4 linked regions of the Pelodiscus sinensis genome follow. The protein of the gene in region 3 interacts with the protein of the main gene of each other region in a biochemical or structural test. Links are inferred from orthologs where the notes say so. Each region holds a gene or a part of one and is shown on either strand. Other genes may lie near its edges. The genes, in order: SH3GL2, ERBB4, ITCH and SMAD3.

Region 1 (7,650 bases), on a different chromosome or scaffold from region 3:
TAAATTTGCCCTTGCTTTTCATTGGCTAATACTGCTGCTCTTGTTGCAAGAGCTTCCATGTAAAGGAGACTGCAACATTTATTCCAATAAATACCTTATACATAGTGTGTAAAATTCTGTGGACTGCCTTGTTTTGTTTTTAACTGTTTACTTTTTAAAATAGAAAACAAATACAGTATTGATATTGGATAAAATAAACATAGAAACGTAATTAATGTGATTTGAAATTACATTAGGTACAATAAATTCCTTTTGTATGGAAGAAAATTAAATTAATATGATTATAGAAATGCCAAAAAGCTTTATATTTTGTAATAGGAAAATATTATTGTGCTTATAGTCAAATATTATGTATGTGCATGTTAGCCAGAGAGACATACACACAGGGAATAATGTTATGAATGAGCATAACAGCTTCAGTGGTGGAAGTATACAAGCGCAATTAAACACTGTAGATTTTTTTCTGGACTGAAAGACACAGTAAGCCTAGAAAATTACTTTTCAACTTAATGGCATATGAACAGGTTTTCAAGAATTGGAGTATATTAACAAATGAAATGTTGTCTTGCTGGTGACTATCTCAAACATTTCATTTCTCAAGCAAAATTTGCATAATTGCTGTGGTCCAGGTTATGACATCCCAACACCTCTATGTATTCCATATTAGTTTTTTACAATAAGACCCAGTTAAAATATAGGAAATAAAATTATTTGGTCCATGCAACAGCCTGACACATTTAGAATCCAATTGTGTTTTCAAGAGAAAACAAACTGTTCAAGTAACAGCGGAGTGGCGCTGTAACAATTTTAAGTGGGGGTGCTGAGCAGCATCCTGCCCCACATCTGTTTGCACCCCCTCACTGTCCCAAATTCCAAAGTTTTAAAATGTTCCCTGTAGGGTTTGGGAGTCCAACTGTAAGAAAACAGGTCACTTGTGAGTAGGCATTCCTAGATTCAAAGGCTAGAAGGGACCACTTTGATCATTTAGTCTGAATTAGCAAATGATACAGTAGCACAGTATGATATGAATGACAACATGCAATGTGTTGCTCCATGCACCACTGTTGATAAAGGTCCCAATATGCACCATTATATTCATAGTCATAATGCCATTTGTTTGTTTGAAGGAATTCACTATTAGAACCAGAATTTGAGTGAGTCTTCTATTGCATGAAGTTAAGAAATTGTTGTTCCATTCGATCAAAAAGCAGGCACGGTTTTCGTAGAAACCTAAAAGGACATGAGATGAGAAAAGGAGAAGGTACAGATTCCCCAAAGGTGTTATACCGTGCTGAATTTCGCAAGCCTCCTTTTGAAGACTATTTACAATGGTTTTACGCTCTACCCTGAGGACACTCCATCTCATTTTCTATGTGAATTGAAGAGAGTCTAATTTTAATGTCAGTCTTGACAATGTAATATGCACAGTAACTCCACTGACTTCAGTGGATTTCCATCAATGTTATTATTAAAATTTAACCACAGATTGCATTTGAAGTATTATTTTAAGTTATTTTTAAAAATAAATTTGCATCTGGTGAAACTTTCATCCTGATTGCTCTAAAATAATGTAGAATACCTACAGCAGCAAGATTCCCTCACCCCATCACTAGCCAACATATGGGCCGTGATCTGAATACTACTGTTTACTGGCGATTTACAAAAACAACTAGAAGAAATCCAAATGAAATCCAGGATTGTAGGATGTGCAGTGTAAGAAGTCCCTTTTCTAAGGCCAGATTTTTAAGCCAGAATGTATGAAACATCTGAAACTCAACAAAATTAATTCTTAAATTAGTGCAAAGCCCACTTCTGGATACAAAGATCAAGCACATGCCTGCTTAAATTAGTTTCACTGTTGATAAAACTGCTCGAGGTCTGAGCAGGGCTATGCACCTAAATAACAAGTGAGAAACCAACACAGATGATCCCTTGGGAGGGTTGTTTTCTGCTAAGGGGAGAGAGAAAAACCCAACCATGGCAGTTCAGACCCACTGTGCAACTGCTCAAAGGATGGAGATTTCAGAGAGCACTCATGGTACAAGGTCACAGGAGGAGGAGGACTTTACATAATCTCACAGACAGCCACACAACTAGCCGCAGGTTTCACAGAGAAAAAAATCACACCCCGCGCAGTTGTGGCAAATGCCCCGAAGCGCTCTGCTCTGCTCTGCTGTCCCCGTCCTGGGGGAGGAGGGGCGGGCAGAGCGGATCTAGTAATTCAATTGCGAACGGCTCTGCGGGCGCAAGAGGACAGAGGCGCCTGCAGTGCGGGACCCGCAGCGGAGCCGGCTGCCATCCGAGCCTGGACTCCGCTCGCTAAATAATGCAGCTGCGGCGGCCAGGCAGGGCTGCGGCGAGGGACCCAGCGCCCCGCTGCGCGCGCCGCCTCCTTCCCCGGGGATACGGTACCTGCTGCAGACCCGTCCAGCGACCCGGAGGGGCACCAGCCCCACCGCTCCTGCAACCCCCCCCCCCCACCACACACACACTCCCGGGTCCCTTGAGACTGCAGATCAGCTGGAGTTGGGGAGGGGTGGGAGGAGGCAGCATAGGAGTGGGGGGGACTGGCTCCTTCCCTGGCTCCCCCTCCGACCCCACAACTTCCCTGAGGCAATGCAAGCCAGGACCCCTCCCCCCACACACACACACTCCCCCCCCCCCCCCGGGTCCGCCCGCAGAGCTCCAGGAGCGGTCACGGCATCAGCCCCCGGCCCCCGCGTCCAGGCACCCCCGGGATCCTGCCCCGCGCCTGCAGGGGGGGTAGCGGGGCGCCCCGAGACATGGCGCCGCGCCCGTACCTGGGTGGCCTTGTGGAACTGCTTCTTGAACCCGGCCACGGACATGGCAGCGGGCGGCGCGGGGCGGCTGCAGGCGGGAAGCGGGGCTCCTCTCGCGCGTGCCGCTCTCCGAGCCTCTTTCCCCCGGCGCGCAGGTTCGCAGATGCCAGCCTGTGGTGCAGAAACCCTGACGTCAAAGCGAGGGAGCCCAGCCCCTTAAAGAGACAGGTGTCCTCCCTGCCGCCCCGCCCGGGCTGGGAGCGAGCGTCCGGCCCGGGCGCCCGCTGCATTCTGCACGGCCCCTGCGTTCCCTCCTGCAGAACTGCATAAGCGCCAATGAAAGCAATCGGACCTGTTCCTTGGCTTTTTTATTTGCCATGCACGTAGAGCTTTCCACACCCTGAACTCACCCTGCCCCTATACCCGCGTGCCAGGGCCTCGGGACCTCACACACAGAGCTCTGCAAATCCATGGGGATCCCGGACAGCTGCGGCTCGTTTTTGCGGCAATGGATGGGGATGTGGCTACAAATGTTGTTACCCGTGCGGGGCTGTAGGGATCGAGTCAATTTCTTGCAGCACGTTTCTCTAACTGAAGGGTGGGGGACCTAAGGCCCAGAGGTCAGAAGTGGTCCCTGCTTGCCAGGATCCAGCCCCCAAGGCCCAGGGCTCTCCACGCAACATGGCGGAGCCCACACGGCTGCACCAATCTCACCCCATGTGGGGCTGGAGCATAAAAAAATCTACTAGGGGGGGCCTAGGCTCTGGTGTGCAAGGGGCATGTGGAGAGTATCTTTCTCCTTCTCAGTCCCGGGATCAGTGAAAGTTTGGTGTGGCCCCTAACTGATTTTTCTGTGGGTCAGCAGCCCCTGACCCAAAAAAGGTTCCTCACTCTGCTCTAACTGATTATATGCCAGAGGCAGAATTCAGATGATGTTCGAATTAGCCCCTATTTTTCTAAACTTGAAGTTAGGCACCTAAGTCTATAGTAAAGATGACAAACGAAGGTGACCTAATTTTCCTAGGCCCATAGCCCACTTTGAGAAACACTGGCGTAGACCCTCCCTGGGAGAAGGGAGGTGCGTTTGGGGATGCCTGCAGGGATGAGTTGCCTAAAGCTTTCTGTGGGAGGAGGGAATGAAGAAAGTGGCAAGCCCAGAGGAATGGGGAAGGTTAGGAGGTATGGAACTAGCTTAGGGAAAGGCAGGGAATGGACCTTGGCTACTGTACAGAGGGCCCTGAGCTGGAACCTAAAGTAGAGGGCAGGTTCATGGGCGGTCAGTGCAGCTGGGGGAGGCAGGACTCCAGCCGCACCTACAGTGCCATCCCCTCTACTAAGGCCCTGACCCCACCATGAGAAGGGGAAGAAATGGGGGAGGAGCATGCAAGCACATGCCCACACCCTGCCCCGTCCTCAGAGCACCAGGGACAGAGGAGGCCATGCGGCTTCCACCTCCCTGACCCCTGGAGCACTGAGGAAGGAGCCACATGGCTCCTGCCTGCCGGGCCGCTGGAGCACAGGGGAGAGTGGGCACTGGGGGGCAGCAACACTCTGCCCCCAGAACACCTACAGCAAAGCCTTCCCCCACCTAGGCTACCAGATGCCCATGGGCAAGTTGCCCTGGCAGCCACTGTAAGGCAGTGAAAGAGAAGACCGCCTGAGACTGCTGGCGGAACATTACCACAAACATTCACCCTGTCCAGGATTAGAAACAAAAGACACTATTGATTCATTCACTCAGGAAAATCCTTTGCAGAAGAGGTGCTTTCATCAATGGTTTGGATTCTGTTTACTGGGGAAACAGTCAGCTCTGCAATAGACTAAACAATGACAGAGACAGGAGGGTGGCATCGATTGTATTAGGTTGGAAAGATAATTATTGAGAAGTGTAGACCACAGTTCATATTTATGATTTTGTTTCCTATTGTAACCATTTCCATCACTCTCTCATCTCCAGTAAAATTTTAATTTTTTTCTTAAACATCCCTAGTTTTGTTTAATTAAAAGTGCTCATAAGTCTTGTGTGGCTTATAAAAGTAGTAGTTCATGATACAGCTGGTAAATTGGGGTACACTGCAGCTTTGAAAATTCTGTGAGTGTCAGAAGGGTATAATTGAAAGGGATTTGGAGTGCACCTATTGTTAACCTACAAGGTAAAGGAAGGGCTGGTACAAGTCCAGTGGAAAGAGCTTAAATGGGAACCAGAAGAAAGACTCCCTCTCACTGAAGGCAGGGTTAACAAGCTGATTCTCAGTTTTGGGTAACCTGAGAACTATCAACCTGCAAGCACTTCCACATTTTTTTTTGTTTTATCAAGATATTTGATCAAAAGGCTTCAGAGACTATCTTTGGAGGAAGATGAAAGGTAAAAGGTGGGAGGAACAATTTGAACTCTCTTCAGATAACAGATTTTTATAGAAATTAAGTTTTCTATTTTTTAAATAAATCTCTCCCAATTAAATGGAAAGAAACATTGGTTTTGTACTTTAAAACAGCACTGCACTAAGCACTAGAAAATATATCCATTGGTGTTTTGCTGAACTGCCAGGGAAATTAATTAGATAACTTAATACATTTTCTACCTTTTACCTCTATGACTAACTGGTTCCCATATTCTGCCATTGTTTTTAGTATATGGTGAAAAGAAATCATGTTTAATTATTTAAAAATTAATATGTATAAAGATAACCAAGCTAAAATATTAGAATCCAAAATTCCATTCCTTTGGTAGGCATGATTCTTGTATAGTACTCCCAGGGTACATCTTCACTACAGAGGAGGATCGAAGCTGCTGCTGTTGATCTTCCAGAGTTCGAATTCGCGGTCTAGTTAAGACAGCTAATTCGAACTGCAAGGGGCACTCCAGCCGATGCTGGTAGTCCTGCTTTCACAAGGAGCAAGGGAAGTCGAAGAGAGTGTTCTCCCTTCAACTTCCTTCAGTGTAGGCAGTACCAAAAGCCAAGTTAAGATGTTTTGACTTCAGCTACACAAGTAATGTAGCTGAAGTTGATATCCTAATTCGCCTTTGTCCTGTAGTAGAGATGTACCCTCAGAAATTATCATTAGTAGAGCAGAAACTTTTGCCTACTGGAATTTCCCATTGAACATAAGAGGTTTTGTTCAGGACTACACAAGAGTAATAAAACAAGTACTATACTATATTACCTACATTTTAGTTCAATAAGTCCTCATCAGATATAACAGTACAATTTCAACCTACAATGTCTTTTGATTCAGAATTGTAGGAAATCAGAAGTTCAGGTAACGTTAAATCATTGTTACATACTATTGCCCCATCTCTGCCCTGCCTTCGAGGAATGCTGGATTCTTTCGATAGCTAGGAGCTATGCTAGGAAACTGTTTTAACACGATCGGGTAACACTAATCAGAAAAAAGGATTTAATCTAATCTGAAAATATAAAACCTGAAATTATGTCTTCGTCTTCTGTGTAGGTTGTATATTTTTTACTTTTCCTTACTATTTTATCTCTGGATTAGTGATTTTTCTAATAAATAACTTGTTTATTTTTGTACTGTGCCTGTCTCCAGTGCACAGCATGGAGCACATATGCTAAAGTGAGCTAGTAAGTGGCAGTCTGGTTTCAAACCGTTGAGGGTGATAAAGGATGAATTTGGGAGACCCAGGACTGGGAAGGTTATTAGTATCACCTACAAAGAGTAAGCAGATGGGTGGGAAGCAGGTTGAGACTATATGCTTGTGGGCAAGCTACTGGTGTCAGTGAATTGAACCATAACCTCTAAACATCCCTTACTGGTCTGTGTGGACCCCAGAACATAACAAATAAGTGCACACACAGATATGGACACTTAATAAAACATTTTCATTTATAAAAATATCTACCTCTTATCAGTAGACCTCATCTTCTTTGATTTCTTTCATCAGTACATCTCAAAGCAGTATACAAAAGAGTCGATTTTACTATCCCCAACTGTCTCCCCCAACCACCTCTGTGGACCTTTCCTGCTTCTTCTGTCTTCTCCTAACCTGAGATTTTCCTCCTTCTCTTCAGTGATGTCCTCTCACACTGCACTTGTTATGGTATCTCTCCCTTCCTTCCCTCTATCCCTATACAATATGCCTCCCTGTCTGGTAGGTCCCCTGTCCCTTAACTTGTTCCTAAGATGTCAGCCTCTGGGATGGGTTTTCACCCCTCTAATATTTTCACCTTTCTTCTTTTCCCTACCATAAGTGTATTCACCTCCAATGGCTCTTTCTGACAGTTGGCTTCTAGCTTAGCCCCTCTCCTATGCTAGTCACCCCGATAAAGAATTCCTATTTCCTTCCCTTCACCCCACTGCTAATTGACCCATTCCCCATTGGAGGGCTCCCCATTCTCCTGCTCTTCCATTCTTTCCCACTTCTTCCTGCATTGACACACACACACACCATTAATATGGGAAGTTGATTGGGGGACAAGTGGAAAAAATAGAATGAGAAGCATGAGAAAGCAGCTTCTGGATTCCCTCTACTTGCCTGAGTACATTATTTATTTCAGGCCTGATTTGCTTTGGACAGTCAGGAAAACAGATCAGAAACCTGAGGTTAGCAAAGGCCAGGTGAGATTTTTAGGAAGTAAGCAACATCTCCTTCCACAATGTCAGTGTGACAAGTAGAACAACAATCTCAGGCAGGCTTCCTGGATACTGGTTTAAAGCCACAACCCTTACATCCAGATAAAAATCTATATAATGTCCTCTTGCAGTCCATTCTAATGATCTATAAATAATAATAGCATATTAACGGAGATGATTCTCAATATGTTGGCTCTGCCAACCCAGCCTTTATAACAGCCAATTTAACCAAAAGGCTAAGTTCCCCATATGCTGGCTAAAGCATTTGCTCTGTGTG
Region 2 (6,825 bases), on a different chromosome or scaffold from region 3:
TACGTCATTATAAAAGCGTTTTCCTAAGTGTCAGATAATATATCAGTTCTCTCTCAACATAGCTCTGATCTCAGCTACTTAAAAATAGGAACACAGACCATGTCAAGAATGTGTGAATGCACCAGTGATTGGTCAAACTTCTTCATCTCCCCATTATTTAAAACAAGAAGGAAATGTGAGCAATTTTATACGCCCTCTTTTTAATGTCTAACTTAAAACAACTGTCCCCTAAAAAAATATAGCCAACAAAATCTCATTGTGTTTCTATCATCAGGTCTATACACAAATGCAAAATTTTACAATATATCTAAGCAGTAGTAATCTGTTCAGTGAGACCAATCCAAACCCACGTTAAAATCTGAGCAAATCAACATCTTTCTGAACACAAGAAAACCTCAAGCACTATGAAAGGAGTTTAAGGAAATTTTGCACTGTGTATTTTTCATAAACATGTAGTCACCGTGAAGGAAAAATGTACATTTAAGGCTTTTGTTTTCATCTTTCAAGGTCATTACATTTTTTAATAAATTGGTTAAACAGGAATCCAACTATGTAGGTTTACCTGGCAATAATTGGAAACATTGAAAAATATATGGGGAAACCCTTATTTATATGCCTCGGGACAGACCCAGGTTAAACAGCGTAACACACTTTGTGGACTTGGAACCGCTGCTTGCTTCTGTCTAGGAGTGTGTTTATGTTTCCCTTTTGCAGAATAAATGAACGATATACTAACACTTTCTTGTAAATCACACATGAACACCAATACAGAGTTACTTCCCAGGAATTGTTCTGCTGGGGGATATAACACTGACATCGGAAACGTAAACGGTAGTATAATGTATCGTCTCTAGGGATGCTACGGGACACCCCTTTTAAATATCTTACAAGTTGACTCATAGATGCACCCCTGCAATTTTAAAGGGGAAAAATTGAAACAAGACTTCCTACAGGTTTCTTTGAAGAGACAGAACCACACGTCTAATGATTTGTACTGGGGAGGGGGGAGAAATCAATATTTCTATTCTATTCACATAAACCAGTAAATAAGGTGCATTCCTTCTGCTTCTTAAGACATTAGCATTTCAAAAATATGCCACTTTCCCCTGAACTCCAAGCGTGTCTAATAATGCGAGAAGCAGATTGTCTCCCTCGTTTCCTTAATTTGTTTCATCTAAAAGCAATTCACACAACATCTTGTCGCCCTCTGGCAGCTTAGTTTACTTATCCGCACTTAATTTCTCATTTGGACCAAAACAAACTCCTCCAAACTGCTACTGACGGGGGAACGCTCAATACGGATATACTTGGGGAGAGCACACAAAAACGAACAGACAAATCATTGGCTTTGGTAGTTAGACCGAAATTAAGGGGATCTCTTTCCCCACCCCTCCCTGCACGCAGAATTGTTGCAATTTCTCAGCCGCAACCGTCTTTCGAGTCAAAGAAATCCACGAACTAGCTTTCCTCGCCCCTCCTCGCGCATCCTGGCTCGCCTGGTGTCTGAAAAACCCGAGCTTGGCTTTTGTGACACCAGCCTTGTCCAACATACACTCATCACATCCCACTGACTCGGACGGATTCGCGCGCGACGGGGACCCTACGGGAGGAGGCGGCGGCGCCGCGGGACTAATCTGGGGGGATATTCCGTGCCGGGGAATCCCGAGAGGGGCTTGCAAAGGAGAGTCCCCCCCAAGGAGCGCGGTTGAAAGCAGAGGGAAAACGCTGTAGGTTGCCCCACAGATATTCCGCCCGGCCAAGCGCACGCTGCTTTGGAAGGGGGGGGGGGGGCGCATGCACCGCCAGGTGGAAGGGGGTCTGCAGGGGCTCGAAGGGCACCCCAGGCTCGCACGCCGCGGGTCCGACCCCGCAGCCAGCCGATGCGTGCCCGCAGCACGGTGCGCGCACAAACGCAGGGGAACCCAGCCGCGTCTGGCAGGCTGCACGGGAGGAGAGCGACACGGACCCGTCCAGCCCACCTCGCCCCGCGTTCACCGGGGGGGGGCACCCTAGAGGATGGGCTTAAAGCCCGAGCGTTTTGACTCGGCTCAAAGTCTGAGCGGGGCAGCCGATTCCCGGGGTCACACGCGTCGGGGGGGGGGGGGGGGGTGAAGATGCCGCCAACCCTTGCACCAAGATGCCGGGCTGGGTTGTTCCCCGCTGCCCGCGTGCCGAGTTCATCCCGGGACCGGGGCCAAGAGCAGCTCAACAACTCCACAAAGTCCTCCGGGAGCCACGCAACGGGAGTGTTACGGGGGGGGGGGGGGGGGCTGTGCCTGGCTCCACAGCAGCCTGCCAGGGGAGCGCCTAACGCAGAAGGGGGAGGTTAACCTAGGAGCCCTGCATGCCGGGGAGGCCAGACCCCCTCCCGCCAGCGCTGCGCAGGGCGCCCGGGGCCGCACGCAGGTGGGGCAGCGAAGCGCCCGTCAAGCCGCCAGCTCCTAGAGGAGCCGTCCCGGCCCGCGGCACCGCAGCGTCCCCCCCGGAGCGGCCGCAGCTGGACCCCGGCTGCCCCAGCAAGGCCCCCCCCGCGCAGGGTCACACTTCAAGGGGGGGGTCGTCAAACCGGCTCGGCGTCGCGGCCACCCACCTGCCTGCGCCGCGCCGGGCTGCAGGGCGCCGGAGACCAGCAGGCAGCCGAGCCAGCACAGGAGCCCAGCGGCCGGCGGCTTCATGGCTGGCGGAGGGTCGGGCGGCGCGCTCACATGGTCCCCACGGGCAGCTCCCCCCGCGGCCGGGCGCGGGGCACCGGCGGCTTCTTCCCCACTCGGCCCGCAACAAGTGGCTCCCCCGGCTCCACTTTCTTTTTTCAGGGGGGGTTGGTTGGCGGTGCCCCTCCCCTTGCTGCTCCTGCTGCTTCTGCTCCGCTCGCGGGTCCCGGCGCTGCAGGGCTGCCGCCCGGGAGCCCCCCTCGCCTCCGCTCCCCGGCTGCTGCGCGCCGCCGCCGCCCCCCCAAATAATCCCGCACCGAGCGGCGGGGCAGGCTGGAGCGAGACACACACACCGCCGAGGCCCCGCCCCCTCTGGGCACAAGCCCCGCCCCGCCCGCCGCCGGCGGGGCCCGGCTCACTCCCCCCACGCGCGGCCCGGGAACACCTGTCACGCGCGCTTGGCGGGCGGCGCGAGCCCTGCCCCGGGTTAGCCGTAAGGGGGTGATATGCACTGGGCGCCCGCCGTGCCCCGGAGACGCGGCTTTGCAGTGGCCTGCCCATGGGCTCGCTGCGGGGGGTGTCCCGCGGCTGGGGGGTGCTGTGCTGCCCTTGTTTCTTCCTGCTCCGTGCAAGCGCGGCTGGGGGTTGCTTTCCCCTCCTTTGCAATCAGCGGTTGCACCTGGCTGAGCGCGGGAAGGGGTGGGGGACACAGGCACGCTGCCTTTTCCAAGCAGGCACCCCCCCCCCTTGCATTGGATCTAGGGGGGTTGTCCACACACACGCACCCAGCTGCATCGCCGCAGACAGGCTGGACCGCTGGCAATCCCGCAGCTTGCGGAGGCTTTTCCCAAACGCAGCTGGGTCCGCTTTGCAGCGTTTTCCGGGCAGCCCCTGCTGTGGCAGGCGGCGAGGAGCGTGAAGGGTTCGCTCCTGATCTCCCTCACACACACACACCCGCGCGCGCTCTGCAAGGGAGCAGACTGTCCACACGCAGCTTCTCACTCTGGCTGCTGATTGCCCGGGGCGGGGGCAGCTCAGAGAGGCTGCAGGTGGCTGGGTTCCCTTTCAGGTGGCATCATTTAAACAAGAGCCGTGTCTGCCGCGCCTATGACTCAGTTCGACATATGGGATTGCTCCCAAAATAATCCGAAGGGTGTTTTGCTTTGCTTTTGTTACTAAAGCAGCAAGGCAGGAGCTATTCTGGACTGAGGCTGCTGCCAGTGGAGGCTAATTAAAGTAATCTAGAGTATCTGTACCCCTGAGGTTTATCCTTGAGAGGAGCTGTTCCAAAGAGCAGGCGGCTTGCTGGGAACAGCCTGGCGACGTATAGACTGGCATGATTTTCCGCAAATGCTTTTAACGGAAAAGTTTTCCGTTAAAAGCATTTGTGGAAAAGAGCATCTAGATTGGCACGGACGCTTTTCCGCAAAAGCACTTTTCCGCAAAAGCATCCGTGTCCAATCTAGACGCGCTTTTGCGCAAAAAAGCCCTGATTGCAATTTTCACCATCGAGGCTTTTTTGCGCAAAACAAAGCTGAGCTGTCTACACTCGCCCTTTTGCACGAAAGCTTTTGCACAAAAGGACTTTTGCCCGAATGGGAGCAGCACAGTATTTCCGCAAGAAGCTCTGATTTCTTACATTAGATCGTCAGTGTTCTTGCGGAAATTCAAGCAGCCAGTGTAGACAGCTGGCAAGTTTTTCCGCAAAAGCAGCTGCTTTTGCAGAAAAACTTGCCAGTCTAGACCCAGTCCCTCAGTTTCTGTAGCTTATTGAAGCTTTGGAGTCTTCCCCTCTTTGACTTTCAACAGCCCTTCCCACCTAGAAATAAAACTTCTGATGGCCCATCAACTGCCTCCCCTTCCCTGATATCCTGCAGAGGGTCCTCTCCAGCCACAGCTATTCCATTAGCTCTGGTCTCCTCCTTGCACATTTATGAACCCTCTGTAGGTCAGGCAATCTCCTTGCTAGGACTTTTGGTATCTGCCCTAAAATCTTTACATTGCATGGAGTCAGGCCTGCCCAAGGCACCAGCCGGCTGCCTTCCCGTGCCACATGTGGGACCAGCCTGAGGCCTCCTGCATGGGGGCTTTCCACAAGATCCTCTGCTTAGTTGGCCTGGCCCGGCCCGGCCCGAGCTGTTGTCTGTCTTCCTTCCTCCCCTGGAAGGCTGGTGTTCCTGCCAGTCCTCCCCACCATGTTCCTCCACGCCATACCAGGGGTCGAGTCCCACTTTTTTTGGCAAAACTGGATATGTCAGTTGGCAAGAGCTAACTGGGCGAATGCCCAATTTTGCCAGAACAGGATGGCTGAGACAAGCTTTCAAAAGTGGACTGTCCCAGCCAAAACAGAACACATGTGTTCTCTCTACTGTGGCCTTCCAATGTTGTCTTCAGCAGCAGCAGGGTAATTGCTAGGGGGAAGAGGCAACGCGTTTTCTGGCCTGAGCCAGTGGTGAAAGTGCTTGGGCAGTAAGACAACATAGCCCCTGCCAGCCCTGGGGATCCCATAGCTGGGCCGTGCAGTGGCTGCACTCCAAGCCCAGAGCCCCCCACTCTGTCTCCTCAGTCTTGCACCCACAAACACACCTGCCCTGAACCCCTCCCCCTGAAACTCTCTCCTCTGACTTCTGCACCCACACCTGCCCTGAGCTCCCATCTCACCCCTACCTTCACTCCTGCACCTACCACCCCTGCCCTGAGCCCCCAACCCCTCCCAGCTCTCTTTCCTGATTCCTGCGCGCGCGCACACACACACACGCACACACACACGCACACTCCCGCCCTCAGCTTCCTTCAACCCCCTGCACTCCATCCCACACTTAACATTTCTTACAGGTACTGTCCTATCGCAGCACCTCCAAGGGTAAAGGGGGTTTCAGTAGGAGAGTACCTGTAAAATATTTACATTACTTGCAGCCCCAGCCTGAGCTCAAGTAATGCCAAAAGCTTGCTGCAGTACCTGACTTGAAGGGAGGTATGGGTGTCCAGCACTCATGCTTATCAGGCCAGGAATGTTATGAGTTAGGAGGAAAGATTGGACTGAGAACTGTACTGGGCATTGGAGAACAGGAGGGAGTAGGGTATTGTATCCTATCTCAACATGAAGAAAAGGTTGTAGTGATTGAATGGTCAGGCTGATAGTTACTTTACTTTAGCTAGATGACCAGTGCTTGTCAGACTGTCTCTGAGCACATGTTTATGTCACATTGTGTTATTCTAGTAACATGGTCAAAATGTGTAAGGGTAGAAATAAGCAGCATGTGCACGGACATGTAAAGTGGCACTCTGGTATGGTTACCAACCAAGGTCAAGATACTGGGGTAGTTGGCCCCCGGGTCTGATCCTACGTGACACTGCCTAGCTTCCTGTACCCCTGCAAGGGGAGAAGTACAAGAACCTAAAATAGAACAGAATGTGTATTTGGAGTGGATTACAGTTACTGACTAGCTGTAGCCCAGAAATGTATCCAGCAGAGCAAAACAGCAAATGCTAACATACCTCTGTAAATTGTTTTGAGCAGCTCACTACATCTCTAATTAAAATCTGTCTGATTCCTCTTGTATCCATCCTAGGGAACAGAATCTGTTTTCTGGCGACTGTTGCTTGGTATTAAACTACCTAATATAGAACAAAGCAGCCAACATTTAACAGTCCCTAAATCCAGACTGTTTGCAAACAAATTGCTACAGCAAGTGCATGGGTGTATGAAGGACATTGCTGCCTGTTCAGACAAAGTCCAATCCTGCTCAATGATATTTTTTTCATTGACTTCCACTTCAGTGGGAACAAGTTCAAATGTATTATATGTCCAGTATTTCATGGACTTTAGTATTAGCTTTTCTATACTGTTCATAATGTTTACCTGGTTAACTGAGCCTGCCGCACCACGGACTGGGGGAACTGGGCCTGGCCGCAGCAGTCCGCTGCAGGATAATCAGTTCCCCATGGATGCTTACTGGGTAACTGGTTAGTTCTTTATATCCCTAATCAGTACACAGACTCCAACATTCCCAGGCAATTTTTTCAGGCTGTTACCTGCCCAATTTAGGGTACTCTGTCTTTTACCACACCAAGGGCTTAAGGTGCAAACTGGTTAATTCAGACACCTTCTACCCTTTTCCTCCTATGGGTTTGGGGCATACAGCACCCACCCTTATCCATCTGGGACTCAGCG
Region 3 (7,869 bases):
TAGCACTGAGGACGCTACCGAACCAACCCAGCAACACCCCAGCTGCTCTGCCCCCAGCGTCCCCAAGTCAGCCGCTGCTGAAACTGACCAGCCCGCTGGTCAGTTTCAGCAGTGGCTGAATGGGGGACAGCTGGGGTGCTGCCAGGTTGGTCCCGCAGCACCGAGGGGCAGCGCTATGGGACCTACCAGCAGCACTCCAGCTGCTCTGCCCCCGGCTTCTCCAATTCAGCCGCTGGTCAGTTTCAGCAGCAGCTGAATCGGGGAAGCCGGGGGCAGAGCAGCTCCAATGGTCCGGCTGCCTGGAGCACTTCCGGGTTCCTGATGGTGCCGGACCATCAGATGCCAGACCAATGGAGTTTTACTGTACATCTATTCTACTGCTGCCTCTCAAAAATCTGGAGCTGCCTTCCCTGTTGTTATAAATTATAGCTATCAAAACAAGGTAAATCTTGAAAGAGGTGTGGCCCAAAATTTCAGACCCAGTTAAATAACTCGCACATCATTGTAATCTTCCTCTACCTACAATTTGGATTTTATTGTCTCGCAATGTCAGTCCTACACATTTAGATACTAGAGGATCAATAACTAAGGCCTATCGATGTTTCCAAAACTAGAAGTGAGGGGCCCAACGTTGCCATTCTAGAGTGACTTTATTTACTAAAGATTATACATAGTGTACCAAAACAACCATTCACATTGCAGTTACAAACACTTATGCTTTAGTGTTCTGGGCCATCATTTTAGGACACTGCATTATTTATAGGACAAAGCAAGTAAACACTAGTGAGATGGCTGCAGCAAGATTCGTCAGGACAGAGTGAAGACACTAGTAGTCAAAGGAGGTTCATTTCAAAGTCTGGGAAAGGGGCTGAGCTAGACAATTATTGGATTGAGAGGAATAAATTGGGGGGAATGAGTTATCAACTCACACAAGCCAAACACCTGGTGGTGATTTTGGGGGGCAGAGTGTATGAATAAAACAGGCATCATGCAAGATAGAGGAACCTAGCAAGAGACAGCAAACCACCCCAGGGCTGGCAAATCATCCAGAATCAGACAGCCGCTAATGAATACCCCCAACTCAGGGTGAGCGCAGTAGCTACAAACCAGGTCAATGAAGTCTATCAACCAGAATGGGCTGGTGATTGACTGGACAGTGAGAAGACTGTAGTCAGAGCACTGGATCTGGTTGCCAAAGTGTGCTGGTCAGCTGTAGGGTCTGGCTAGAGATTAGATCACCAGGGTCTGGCCAAAGGGGGCTGGCTGAATGGGGCAGTAGCAGGGAGGTCTGGAAGCCAAAGAGCACTGGGTGGGGCAGTGACCGGGGGGAGGGGGGGGGGCAGCCAGAGGATGCTTGGCAGAAGGGCAAGGCAGGGGAGGCCTGGCAGTCAGAGGGTGGGGCAGTGGCAAGGGGAAGAAGCTGGCAGACAGAGGGCACTGGGCGGGGCAGTCGTGGTGGGGGGTGTCTGGCATCCAGAGGCACTGGGCAGGGAAGTAGGGAGAGTCTGGCAGCTGCTGGGCGGGGCAGTGGCTGGGGGGGAGTCTGGTAGCTGGAGGCACTGGGCATGGCAGGGGCAGGGGGGAGAGGGGTCTGGCAGCCGGAGGCACTGGGCGGGGTCCCACGGGAGGCAGGGCAGTGGCGGGGGGGGGGGAGGGTCTGGGCGAGGCAGTGGCGGGGGGGGGGGTCTGGCAGCCGGAGGCGCTGGGCGGGGCAGTGAGCGGGGGTCCCACGGGAGGCGGGGGGGGGGGCGCTGGGCAGGGCAGTGGCTGGGGGGGAGGGTCTGGGCGGGGCAGTGACGGGGGGGGGGGTCTGGCAGCCGGAGGCGCTGGGCGGGGCAGTGCCGGGGGGGGGGGTCTGGGCGGGGCGGGGCAGTGCCGGGGGGGGTCTGGCAGCCGGAGGCGCGGGGCAGTGCCGGGGGGGGGGGTCTGGGCGGGGCGGGGCAGTGCCGGGGGGGGGTCTGGCAGCCGGAGGCGCTGGGCGGGGCAGTGCCGGGGGGGAGGCTCTGGGCGGGGCAGTGCCGGGGGGGAGGCTCTGGGCGGGGCAGTGCCGGGGGGGGGTCTGGCAGCCGGAGGCGCGGGGCAGTGCCGGGGGGGGGGGGGTCTGGGCGGGGCGGGGCAGTGCCGGGGGGAGGCTCTGGGCGGGGCAGTGCCGGGGGGGGGTCTGGCAGCCGGAGGCTCTGGGCGGGGCAGTGCCGGGGGGAGGCTCTGGGCGGGGCGGGGCAGTGCCGGGGGGGGGGGGTCTGGCAGCCGGAGGCGCGGGGCAGTGCCGGGGGGGAGGCTCTGGGCGGCGCGGGGCAGTGCCGGGGGGGAGGCTCTGGGCGGGGCGGGGCAGTGCCGGGGGGGGTCTGGCAGCCGGAGGCGCGGGGCAGTGCCGGGGGGGGGGGGTCTGGGCGGGGCGGGGCAGTGCCGGGGGGGAGGCTCTGGGCGGGACGGGGCAGTGCCGGGGGGGGGTCTGGCAGCCGGAGGCGCGGGGCAGTGCCGGGGGGGGGGTCTGGGCGGGGCGGGGCAGTGCCGGGGGGGGGGGTCTGGGCGGGGCGGGGCAGTGCCGGGGGGGGGTCTGGCAGCCGGAGGCGCGGGGCAGTGCCGGGGGGGGGTCTGGCAGCCGGAGGCGCGGGGCGGGGCAGTGCCGGGGGGGGGGGGGGCGCGGGGCGGGGCAGTGCCGGGGGGGGGGCTGGCAGCGCTGGGCGGGGCTGTGGGGGGGGTCCCACGGGGGGCGGGGCAGGGGCCCCAGGGGCCGGGACCGAAACGCCCCCGCCCCGCTCGCTGCGAGCCCCGGGGCGGGAGCGGCTCCCCCAGCCCCCCCCGGCGGAGTCGCGGCAGCGCTTCGAGAGGCGAGCGGGCGGGCGCAGCCGCTTCTCCGCGGCGGACTCCTTACCGGCCGGGGCGGCGGGGCCAGCGCCTCAAGCCCTCCGCCAAGATGGCAGCCAGTCCGAGCCCAACCTCAGGCAGCGACTTTCCAAAGTCGGACGGCCACGACGCATGCGCAGAGTCAGCGATGGCGGAGGGCGTGGAGGGTGAAAACTACAACTCCCAGAATGCCCCGCTGGGAGTACGCACGCGCACTACCTGGGCGGACTGGGGTCGGACTGTCAGCTGATGGGTCGAGGGAAGCCGGTGGACTGGGCGCTGGCGCGGCTCCCGCAGGGGAAGGGGCTGAGGGTGGGCCACCAGGAATGGAGACTGGCCGCGTGAGTGGCCCCGAGCCCCGCGCTTCCCTGCTGCTCCCCCCAGTCCCGCCCCTCCCCCTCCAGAGCTGGAGCGAGTCAGCTGCTCCCCGCGCTCCGCCCCTAGCGGCCGGGAAGGGTCTGCAGGGCAAGCCCCAGTGGGCTACAGGTGCCACCACCAGACTGAACCGCGGGGTGGGTTCCCGGACGGATCTGGGGGGGGCGGGCTCTGTGAGCAGTGGGGGTCCCACAGAAAGGGACTGTTGGACTCTGTGTGAGCTTCCCCATAGGGATCCTGGGGGAGAACTTTGTGCAGGCAGGGGGAACTCACCTAGACAAGGATTATGGAGAGCCTCTGCTCACAGAGACCTTGGGGGCAACTCTGGGAGTAGGGGCCACCTCCCCGACAGGAATTTGGAGGGGGTTCTGTGCAGGTAATGTGGCACCCATCCAGACCGGGATTATGGAGGTGCTCTGTGCTAGCAGTGGAGTCTCCCCATAGAGGGGTGCTCTGTGCGGGTTCAGATGTGCTTTGAATTTATTTCATACAGAGAAGGTATAATATGGTTATTCTTTGAAAAGTGGCAGTGGAGGGTTTCACTTTTAATCTCTAAAGGCCTAATCCATCATCAGAATGGCAAATCCCAAAGGAACATGGCTGCTGCAACCAGCTCCAGTATAAAAAATTTAGCAGCACTAAGCACCTTAGATAGAAACATAAACACTGGTACAGTTTCAAAAAGAGATTTCTGCGTTGCATGGATCTGTGTACCTCTTTAGGTATAAATGCACTTACAGCACTGAAATCCTTTTCATCCACAGATCTGTCATGGAAGGAGGAAACAAAGCATACTTTCCAACCATTGCCTGCTATACCACTGTACCAGCTAAGAGTGAGAGGATAGTTCAGTCTCCGTAGTCTGGTCAATCCTGGGCTTCTACTGAAGCACCAGCAAGACTGTTCATTAATAGTATATTAGGACGCATTTTTATGAACTAATGAAGATTAAGGAATTCATAAAGTTCAACAGTTCATAAAACTGCACATCTCAAAATTACAGTAGGTACTGTGCATAAGTATTGCTTTTTCATGCCCTTCAGACCGCTGCCAAGCAATTCCAATGCACTGATGGCATCAGAACATGAAAGGTTGTGGACTTTTTCTTCATCAACTTCACTTTTATTATGTGACTTTTTTCCCTCACAGGGAAAAATGGTTTGTATAATTGTTTGTTTATAACATAAATCTTCATAAAATCAAGGTTCTGCTGTAATACATTGCACTTTTACACATTGATGACCTCCTGAGGTCTCTTCCAGTTCTAGTGTTCTATGATTATATGATCTTAAAGCACTTTGGCTACGTCTACACTGGCAAGATTTTGAGCAAATACTTTTAACGGAAGAGTTTTTCCGTTAAAAGTATTTGCGCAAGAGAGCGTCTACACTGGCATGTGCTTTTGCTCAAGAGATGTGCTTTTGCGCAAAACCAGTGTAGACGCTCTCTTGCGCAAGAAAGCTCCAATGGCCATTTTAGCCTTCGGGCTTTCTTGCCCAAGAAATTAACGTTGCCTGTCTACACTGGCCTCTTGCGCAAGAATACTTGCGCAAAAGGGCTTATCCCTGAGCGGAAGCGTCAGAGTATTTGCGCAAGAAGCACTGATTTTGTACATTACAACATCAGTGTTCTTGTGCAAACACTTGCAGCCAGTGTAGACAGGCGGGAAGATTTTGTGCAAAATCTTGCCAATGTAGACACAGCCTTAGAGAAAAACTGGGGTCTGGCAAAAGGGGGCTGGTTGGATGGGGCTGTACCAAGTAGGTCTGGCAGCCAGAGGGCACTAGGCGGGGTAGTGGCAGGGGGAGGCGGGTGTCTGGCAGCCAGAGGGCACTGGGCGGGGTAGTGGCAGGGGGAGGTGGGTGTCTGGCAGCCAGAGGGCACTGGGCGGGGTAGTGGCGGGGGGGGGCGGGTGTCTGGCAGCCAGAGGGCACTGGGCAGGGTAGTGGCAGGGGGAGGTGGGTGTCTGGCAGCCAGAGGGCACTGGGCGGGGTAGTGGCAGGGGGGGGCGGGTGTCTGGCAGCCAGAGGGCACTGGGCGGGGTAGTGGCAGGGGGAGGTGGGTGTCTGGCAGCCAGAGGATGCTTGGTGGAGGGGCAAGGCAGGGGAAGCCTGGCAGTCAGAGGGTGGGGCAGTGGCGGGGTAGGGTCCAGAGTGCTTCATTTTTTCTTCTTAAAGCACTTTGAGGAAAAATGAACTGGAGCACTGGGAGAGCTTTTGCCCAGCACTCCTGAAGTGGCCACACTGCCAAGGCTGTGCTTTAAACTTTCAAGCGTAGACAAAGCCTCAGCTTGTTCATGAAGATGGAATAATGCTGTCCTACAAGGAAGGTATTTGGGAACACTCATTTGAAATCCTGTTCGGCTACTGAGGATACAGATGTCATTAGTGGGGACAGATGCATGGTTTCCCACTCACATCCAGTAATAGTACTAACAAAGACTTCAAGTGATATGAGAGATTATCATTTCCAGGAGAATCAATGTGAGCAAAAGAAACAGGAGTAACTATTTTGTATGGCACTTGAGCACTACTGTGTTACTTATTTACACTGAAAAACCCAAAAGATCATTGTGTCCATTTATATTTATTGAAACCCCAAAAGAGCCCCATTGTGAGGATGCTGGACAAACTCTCACAGGCTTCTTCCTGCCAGAAATGTTAATTTTAAGAAGATAAGCAACATATGGAGGATGTTGGAAATATGAACTGTTACACACAAATACTTTTGTGAGCCCAGTGTTGTCTGCACATAATACATTACATGCAAAAGCATTATATTAAAAGACCTTTAAGATTGCAAAGTCAAACACTTAAAAGTTAGGAAATGCCTGAATTAAGGTGCTTGTGCTACACTAGTGTGGCTTCTTTGTGTGTAGGCATAATAATACATTCTTTAATTAGCTGATCAGATGCTAGCATTCCCAGGGGACCCCTGCTTAATTCAGTGAAAAGGTTGGTGCACAGTGAATGGGCAGCTATTTGGTATTTCCTGTTATCCTCATTATTCAGTGTGCATCTACTGGATAAAAGGAAATATTGCACAGCTACCTTATTTACTGCACCACATCCAAACCCTGCCCAGAGGACAGAGAGTGTTTCTGTACAGTTCTCATTATAATATCTGAGTACCACACACCCCAATGAATTTGTCTTCATGGGCTGTGGTGGCATTAGTATCACCATTTACCGATGAGGCACAGAGAATAAGGGCAAATGTGTCCCCCTAATGTTAGATGCCCCAGATGTCTCAACGCAGGCATCCAGAAAACGACACACACACAATTAGAGACCACTGGTGCAGATTCTGGTTTAAGTGATTTCCCTAGCCACACATAGGAACTCTATGATAGTTCTTGAGGGTGGCATTTAATTGCCTTCATCATGCAATCATCCTTTTGATATTACTGTTCCCCCGGCCCCCTGCACAACACCGATTCACTCTCAGAGCCCAATCCAGTCTAATAGTGTATGGCTGGGTAATTAAAGTCTATTATAATCCACAACATGGTCCTTGTAATGTACATCATGCACAATGTGCTTTAGTCAAATAAGTTATTGTCCTCAGTATAGAGATAAATGGGGAAATTCTATGGTCTATGTTATACAAGAAGTCAGCCTAGTCCTAGATGATCTAATGGTCCCTTCCAGCTTTTAAAATCTAGTTAGTTATGAATGAATCACAAGGAAGCCATATTAGGGTTGACAGGGTAACCTTAATTTTGGCATGTTCGTGTTGAGTGCTTATATTTGCAACCATAATGTTCTTTTAACATTTTTAAATGTAAGTTTCCGAATGTTTATATAAGCAAACTAAAAAAAAAAAAAACCACACAAAATTCACGATGTAGAACTTAATTGAACTTCATAGTCACCAGCAATGTTGGGATCTTTAGATTCACAGTACAGACCTTGGCCATTTGAACCAATGGAATAGCTGATAGCAGTAGTAGGTTGTTATCCTATATGTGGTCAGCCACTAGAGCAGGATGATACCCTTTGCCAATGAGCATCACAGCTATTTGCCACAGAGTACAAGAATAGTGAGGCATAGAAATCCTGAGTTCAGTTTTAGCTGCTCTAAAATGTCTATAGGCCTTTCTGTTCCTGTCCATGTTTGTCCTAGTGCCCCTCTACTTCTATCCACAGTCCAATGGCTTCTGCCCCACACCTCATCTGATCCTCTCCATCTCTTCATGACGATTATCCCTGCCCCCAACCCTGGCCTTTATTCATCTCACTTGGCTCCTGTTCCTTTCCCCCTCTGTTCCAGTTTCCTGCCCCAACTCATGCCCCTCATACACAATTTTAAGCTACTGAAAAAGTCTTATAATGGACAGTGTTAGACAACCTTGATAATAGATAGAACTGATGGGTCTGTGAGATGTGTCTGTCTGCTCCTCAGTCTATCCTGAATCAGTCTGATAATCTCTCACAATCTCCATGGGGGACATGAGTCTTGTGCTGGAATGTGAAGGTACAAAGTTGCATTAAGTTGCATAAGTCTGCTGGTCTTGCCTGATTAGTTCAGGTAGAGTATTCTATGATAAGGGTCACTTTGGGAGAATTCCCAAAGACACTTGTTAAACAGTACAGTAACTGACTAACTGGGGAGAGTGTGGGCTAGAGGACTTGCAAGGCCAGTCCT
Region 4 (6,971 bases), on a different chromosome or scaffold from region 3:
GTGTTCAGCACCTCTGCACTTGAGTTGTCTTACGCTGGTCAGCCAAAAACTTAGGTCACTCAAAATCAGGACTACTTTCTAAGATGTTGTCTCTTCAGCCCTGGAATGCCCCCTTCCTGCTGATGTCTCACCCACTGTTAGCTACTCCACCACTTTGTGTTAGGACCCACATCTCTCCCACACAGCATCATCCTCGCCTCTGTGTACTGCCCTTCCATGGTACCCTCACACTCGGAGGTCCCAGGGAACCACCCCAATTCTCTATACCCACCTTGCCTGATAGTAGGAGTGGACTTGCTGCCTTGTTCTATCCTGGCTGCCTCCCTAATTGCCTCAGGCCTTAGAGCAAGGCCTCACCCTGGGAGTTTGCCTGGCCAGAGCTCCCCAGCCCTGCCTGCCTGCACCTCTAGCTTCTCTGACAGTTTGGTCCCACTAACTGCACAGCTGGAGCAAGAGTGAATAAATGCCCCCTGCTTCCAGGAGTCCTTATTTATACAGCCCCAGGTGGGCTCTAATTGGCTGTATCTTCATCAGCTGCTTACTCCACAGTCCCAGCCCTCTCCCAGGACTGGATTTAACCTTTCTTTAGCCTGTGTGGGGCAGATGCCCCCTCACACAGACTAGCAAAGTGAGTGGCAAGGTGGGCAACTGGAATACCAAATTAGCTAACTACATTGAGGCAAAACTACATTGTCACCTGGACTTCTTGTAAAAAATTTTTTTTTTTTATAGTGAAGACATAGCTTCTTTAGGGGCCTATCTCTGGCATGCAGCCCTACAGATTTCAGTGCCTGTATCTGTCCGCTTGGTCATGAAGGACTGTGTCATTTGTATTTCTTTTTGCAACATGAGTATCAATGACATTTCATCCCTCCACGTCATTCATGGTGCAGACTTTTAACAGTTTTACCTAACACTTCACACTCAGACAATCCCAGCAGTAGAGAACAAAGCCCAGCACTGGAAGGTGGGTGTGGTAGGAATCCTTACTGGAAAGAGTTTCAATGCGCACAAAACAGATATCAGACAGTATCACAAAGAAAAAACAGTTTCTTGCCATTTCAACCAGAAAGGACATTGTCTCAATGACTTGTATACCTGCATCCTGATTCAAAGACATTTTAACACAAGACTTGAAAGAGAAACCTCTGAACTGTCATTCATGCTTAAATTTGACACTTTACGCCTGGGTCTCAACAAAGATGCTAATTACCTTACCCATTACAAACACAGCTTCCCCAATTATCACCTCTAATATAATTAGCTCACAGACATTAACCTCCCCTCCCCAACCCCCTCTGTTCTGAAATTTGATTTGTCCTTTTTATATGTGTTTGCTTTTTTTGATTATAGCCCTTTGGTATATATGGTCATGACAATTTTCTTCCACAATTTGATCTGAGGAAGTGGGTCTGGCCCACGAAAGCTAATAAACCATCTTGTTAGTCTTTAAAGTGCTACATAGTCCTGTTTTTTGTTTCAGCTAGACTAGACTAACATGGCTACATCTCTATTACTATTCTGCCTTTTTAGGGGGTGGTTAATGGGTATGAAGTCCCCCTTTGCTCTCTGAGGGAAATACGAGCAGGTAAGGAGAGGAAGATCAAGTGTTACACTTTCTAGAGTGGGTGGTGGGGCACAGATGAGAGGGCATCCACCCATCTGCTGTAAAGTTGAGAGGTGATTACATACAGGCTGTGTCTAGACTGGCAAGTTCTAGATTGGCATGGACACTTTTCTGCAAAAAGTGCTTTTGCGGAAAACAGTCCATGCCAATCTAGACTCTCTTTTCCACAAATGCTTTTAACAGAAAACCTTTCCGTTAAAAGCATTTGCGGAAAATCATGCCAGTCTAGACACAGCCACACAGTACAAAACAGGAAGTGGCTGTCTAGAAAGAAGTACTGCAGAAAGGGATCTAGGGGATCATAGTGGATCACAAGGTAAACATGAATGAGTGGTGTGACACTTGCAAAAAAAAAAAAGCAAACATGATTCTGGGATGCATTAACAAGAGCATTGTGAACAAGATACAAGAAGTAATTCTTCCACTCTATTCTGTACTGACTAGGCCTCTTCTGGAGTGTTTGTGTCCAGTTCTGGGCACCACATTTCAAGAAAGATGTGGAGAACTTGGAGAGGGTCTAGAGAAGAACAACAAAAATGATGCAAGGTCTAGAAAACATGACCTGTGAGGGAAGACTGCAAGAATTAGGTTTGTTTAGTTTAGAAAAGAGAAGACTGAGAAGGGACATGATAGCAGTTTTCAAGTACCTAAAAGGGTGTTACAAAGGAGGAGGGGGAAATATTCTCCTTAACCTCTGATGACAGCACAAGAAGCAATGGGCTTAAATTATAGCAAAGGAGTTTTAGATTGGACATTAGCAGGGCTCGACAAACTATAGAATCTACTCGCCCATGGTGACTAGATTTCAGCTGCATGCCCCATTTACCGGCGATGTGCGTATGCGCAATGCGGCTCTTGACCATGCACAGTGTGGGGCTGGCAAGCGGCTTTCGCCACCGTTTGTCAAGCCCTGGACATTAGGAAAAACTTCCTGTCAGGATGGATAAGTACCGGAATAAACTGCCTCTGGAGGTTGTGGAATCTCCGTCATTGGAGGTATTTAAGAGCAGATTACATAAACATCTGGCAGGAATGACCTGTCCTAGATGATGCTTGGACCTGCTGTGAGGGCAGGAGCCTGGACTTGACCTGTTGAGGTCCCTTCCAGTCCTAGTATCCTATGGTTAGGTGAGAGGAGGTCTCCCTACACAATGTGTGTGTTGGGGGTAACTGACAAGAAATCCTGCTTCCAGGTATTTGGATTTATTGTGTTTTTTTCTGGGTGGCGGAGGTGGGGGGGGGGGGGGAAGGTCCATTGGTTGCCAAGTCCCTGGGCATTGAGATTAATGGAGAAGACCCTCCCCTTCCAGTCTCTGGGCTCAATGTGTGTATGGGGATGTCACGGACAGCAGCGCCCCCTACTCCCAGGGCTCGTGTATATGTTGGGGAGCCCCCATACTCTATGGGTTCCTTGTGTATATGAGGGGTGGGGGAGAGACACCTGTATTCCCAGGGCTCCTTGTGTACGTGGAGGGTCACCAAGCAGAGCCCCCTCCCTTGGCTCACTATTACTATGAAGGGGTCACTGAGGGGACCCCTCCTGCCCGGGCTCGCTGTGCATATATGGGGATCACTGAGGGAAGCCCCCATGTACTCCCAGGGCTTCTTGTGTATAGGGGGAGTCACTGAAGGGAGCCCCCCAGAGTCCTAGGGCTTCTGTATGTGGCCGTCCACCCCCTTCCCCAGGGCTCGCTGTGGGTATGAAGGGGTCACTGTGGAAAGTCTCCCCCCCACTCCAAAGAATTGTGTACACGGGGGGGGGTCTCTCAGAGGAGCTCTCCACAGTCCCAGGACTCCTCGTGTATGTGGGTCACCCCCCTTCCCCGGGGTTCCCTGTGGGTGTGAAGGGGTGACTGAGGGAAGCCCCCCCACTCCAAAGAATTGTGTACATGGGGGGGGGTCTCTCAGAGGAGCTCGCCACAGTCCCAGGACTCCTCGTGTATGTGGGTCACCCCCCTTCCCCAGGGCTCGCTGTGGGTGTGAAGGGGTCACTGAGGGAAGCCCCCCCCCCCCACTCCAAAGAATTGTGTACATGGGGGGGGGTCTCTCAGAGGAGCTCGCCACAGTCCCGGGACTCCTCGTGTACGTGGGTCACCCCCCTCCCCCAGGGCTCGCTGTGGGTGTGAAGGGGTCACTGAGGGAAGCCCCCCCCACTCCAAAGAATTGTGCACGCGGGGCCTGAGGGGACTCTGGGCGGGCAGGGGGTGGGGCCGGGCGCTGGCCGCCCGTTGCTCCCCCCCCCGCCCGCTGGCGGCGCGAGCCAGTAGCGCGCTTGGGCGGGCTGGCGGGAGGCGGGGGTGGGCGCCGAGCCGGGGCTGCCGGGCGGCGATTTGCATGCGAGGCAGACTGGGAACGAGCCGGGGCGGCCGCCTGTCGGCGCGCGCAGAGCGGGGGCCGGCGGAGGGGCGGGCGGGCCAAGTCGGGGCGAAGTTTGCCGGGGCTGCGAGCGACGCCAGGCGCCAGCCCCGCTGCCCTCGGCCCGGGAGGGGCCGCGCCGCCGAGCCGAGCGGGGACGCGGGCGGGCTGCGAGCCGGCCGCCGAGCCAGCATGTCCTCCATCCTGCCCTTCACTCCCCCCATCGTCAAGCGGCTGCTGGGCTGGAAGAAGGGGGAGCAGAACGGGCAGGAGGAGAAGTGGTGCGAGAAGGCGGTGAAGAGCCTGGTGAAGAAGCTGAAGAAGACGGGGCAGCTGGACGAGCTGGAGAAGGCGATCACCACGCAGAGCATCAACACCAAGTGCATCACCATCCCCAGGTAGGGGCGGGGGGGGGCGCCTCTCTGGGCTCCCACCCACAGGCTAAATCGGGGGGGGGGACACGGAGGCTTGCACCCTTGCGGAGATGCTCCCCCCCCAGATCGATGTGCATGTGCACAGGAGCCCGGGGGGGGCGCACAGGGAGACGTGTCCAGGCAGTGGGGATGAGCCCCTTCCTGCACGCCTGGGGTCCCATGCAGAGACACCTGTGCACCCTGAGAGGGGGCAGGCACAGGTCAGGCACATGCATCTGACGAAGTGGGTCTTTGCCCACGAAAGCTTATGCTCCTACACTTCAGTTAGTCTATAAGGTGCCACAGGACTCCTCGCCGCATGGGCCATACGTTCACCTAGAGCCCGCGGGGGAGACCGGTGAAGTCATTCACTTGCAGAGGTAAGGACTGGACGTCCACAAGAGACACGCGTCAACAGAGGGACGCCCATGAATAAAGACGCACAGACCTGCAAGCACACGGAGATGTGAAGACCCATATATATACCCATTGGAACATGCCTGACTGACACACATGTACCTGTAAATAGACGCAGGCAGATGTGTGCCCCCACACACGTTTGTGTGCGTATTATAGACATTAAGCATACACATGGGGACTCGGAAAAGCCATAACCATTAAAGGCTTGTGTTAGAGGAATTTTGCTTTTCTCTCTGGCCAGCTCTAATAGATGTTGGGTTTTGTATTCCTTTTTAAAAAAACTATTCCAGAATACTTTGGTTACTTGAAATTAAGAGGTCACGGAATTGAATTAAATCTATGAATAGAGGAGACAGAAATTAAGACAGGAACGCAAGACGGGAAATGTTTTCAGCTAAGATTTGAAAAAAGATGGATTAGTTCTACTCATGGGTGATACTCTGTTTTGTAGCCAGAGGTTTCACTCTTTTCTGTTACTGTTTAAATTAGTATCTCTGATTTCCTTTCTGAATCAGATAAATTAGTTTGCTTGTGTGTCTTGGTCTGTTCTGTCAGACATTTTCCTGAAGAAGTGATTTAGGGCCCTTGGATTTACGTTTCCAGAGTAGGTCGTTATACTTTCAAAAAACCCACCCAAAGCACACAACCAAGGAATGCAATTTGCATAGCTAAATTGGATTGCTGTTTAGGAGAGGCATCATATACATAAAATAACTGATTTTTTTCCACATACTTTAATCCTTTATGCAGTATTTTAATGCTTGACTCAGTACTATTGCACACAGGATTCATCATAAGGCACAGGAGAGGACAAGTATCTAAATGATTACATATTTTAGATTATCTTTGAGGAAATCAAATCACTGTGAACATTTTATTGCTGAAATTACGTTGATTTCTGTATGCTCATTCAGATATTTGGCATTTTAATTTATTTTATGGAATAATACAGCATTGCTTTTTTAACATGCTAAAGTTCATTGAGAACAGTTCAATGTGGTATAATGGTAGGCTTCTGTGTATTGATACGGTCTTTCATGTGTGTATGTACCGGTAAATTCTTGGTTGTCACAATGACTTAATATTCAGTACCTAGTGGTCACAAAGCTTATCTGTTTTATGAACCACAGATACAAACAGTTTTCAAATGTTATGAAGAGTTGAAACTCTTTTTTCAAAATGAATACCTTCAACAAATACAATTTTAATAGACTGTTCAATATACCCTGGCTCTTCTCTACCAAATGACAACAGGTCAGAGTTTAGTGTAAATTCAGAATGACTCCACTGAAGTCAGTGAAACCATCCTGGATTCTCACTTGAGTTAAAACTGAGATCAGAATCTTGATTTGGCTGTTCTTAAGCTTATGTTTGGAAACTCATCATAATCAGCTAAAGCTCTTTCTTGGAGTATTTGCTTACCTTAACCCAAAAACTCCTGCGACTGATGATACTTGCTATGTCTTTTGCTTTTCTGGTTTTAGTAAGAACTGACCAGTGTAGAATTGGAAGGGGAATCACCGGCATTTGCCATTTTTAGCATTAATGTTTGCCCTTTATGGGTGTTGTTGCTAATAATCATAATCATAATAATAAAGAATACAGAAAAAAAACAATTAGGTTAGCCTGTCTTGGCACTGTACAGACACCTAATAAGAGACAGTCCCTGCCTGGAAGTGGTTACAACAATGTAAATAATCAAGTGGTGAAGGGGAAATAGCTTTATAGAGTGGTGAAACTACTCTCCTTCTGAAGTTGCACAGAAGGTAACTATGTAGTGGTGTTGTAGCTGTGTTGGTCTCAAGATACTGGAGAGACAAGGTGAGGGCATATTTTTTTATTGGAGTAACTTCTGCTGGTGAGGTGGACAAGCTTTCAAGTTTACACAGAGCTCTTTTTCAGGTCTGGGAAACAAACTCAAAATGTCACTGCTAAATATAAGGTCAGTATCAGAACTAGAATTATAATCCAAGTATTCTGTCCAATGCCTTAACCACTGGACCACACTGCCAGTACTAAAATATCATTGTATCAGACTGTCAGGGCATTATTCTAATTCTCAGAAGGCTGCTTCTCTGACTATTTTCATTTTATAAATTTTGGACATTATTTCCCTAGTTTGTAACACAAATATTTTGGGAACAAAAGGCCAAACT

The links.
Region 1: the proteins of ITCH (region 3) and SH3GL2 form a complex in vitro, tested with the Homo sapiens proteins (2 studies listed by BioGRID, with this or other methods). The link is inferred for Pelodiscus sinensis from reciprocal best matches to the Homo sapiens genes ITCH and SH3GL2.
Region 2: the proteins of ITCH (region 3) and ERBB4 form a complex in vitro, tested with the Homo sapiens proteins (2 studies listed by BioGRID, with this or other methods). The link is inferred for Pelodiscus sinensis from reciprocal best matches to the Homo sapiens genes ITCH and ERBB4.
Region 4: the proteins of ITCH (region 3) and SMAD3 form a complex in vitro, tested with the Homo sapiens proteins (2 studies listed by BioGRID and IntAct, with this or other methods). The link is inferred for Pelodiscus sinensis from reciprocal best matches to the Homo sapiens genes ITCH and SMAD3.

Annotation. Positions count from the first base shown.
Region 1 is NC_134716.1:20,842,904-20,850,553, forward strand, and holds the start of SH3GL2 (endophilin-A1), read right to left. Parts: upstream 3,007-7,650; 5' UTR 2,847-3,006; coding exon 2,802-2,846; intron 1-2,801. UniProt on the Homo sapiens protein: Implicated in synaptic vesicle endocytosis. May recruit other proteins to membranes with high curvature. Required for BDNF-dependent dendrite outgrowth.
Region 2 is NC_134717.1:59,548,276-59,555,100, forward strand, and holds the start of ERBB4 (receptor tyrosine-protein kinase erbB-4), read right to left. Parts: upstream 3,022-6,825; 5' UTR 2,676-3,021; coding exon 2,591-2,675; intron 1-2,590. UniProt on the Homo sapiens protein: Tyrosine-protein kinase that plays an essential role as cell surface receptor for neuregulins and EGF family members and regulates development of the heart, the central nervous system and the mammary gland, gene transcription, cell proliferation, differentiation, migration and apoptosis.
Region 3 is NC_134728.1:35,531,443-35,539,311, reverse strand, and holds the start of ITCH (E3 ubiquitin-protein ligase Itchy homolog), read right to left. Parts: upstream 3,005-7,869; 5' UTR 2,876-3,004; intron 1-2,875. UniProt on the Homo sapiens protein: Acts as an Acts as an E3 ubiquitin-protein ligase which accepts ubiquitin from an E2 ubiquitin-conjugating enzyme in the form of a thioester and then directly transfers the ubiquitin to targeted substrates.
Region 4 is NC_134724.1:3,775,147-3,782,117, reverse strand, and holds the start of SMAD3 (mothers against decapentaplegic homolog 3), read left to right. Parts: upstream 1-3,968; 5' UTR 3,969-4,174; coding exon 4,175-4,380; intron 4,381-6,971. UniProt on the Homo sapiens protein: Receptor-regulated SMAD (R-SMAD) that is an intracellular signal transducer and transcriptional modulator activated by TGF-beta (transforming growth factor) and activin type 1 receptor kinases.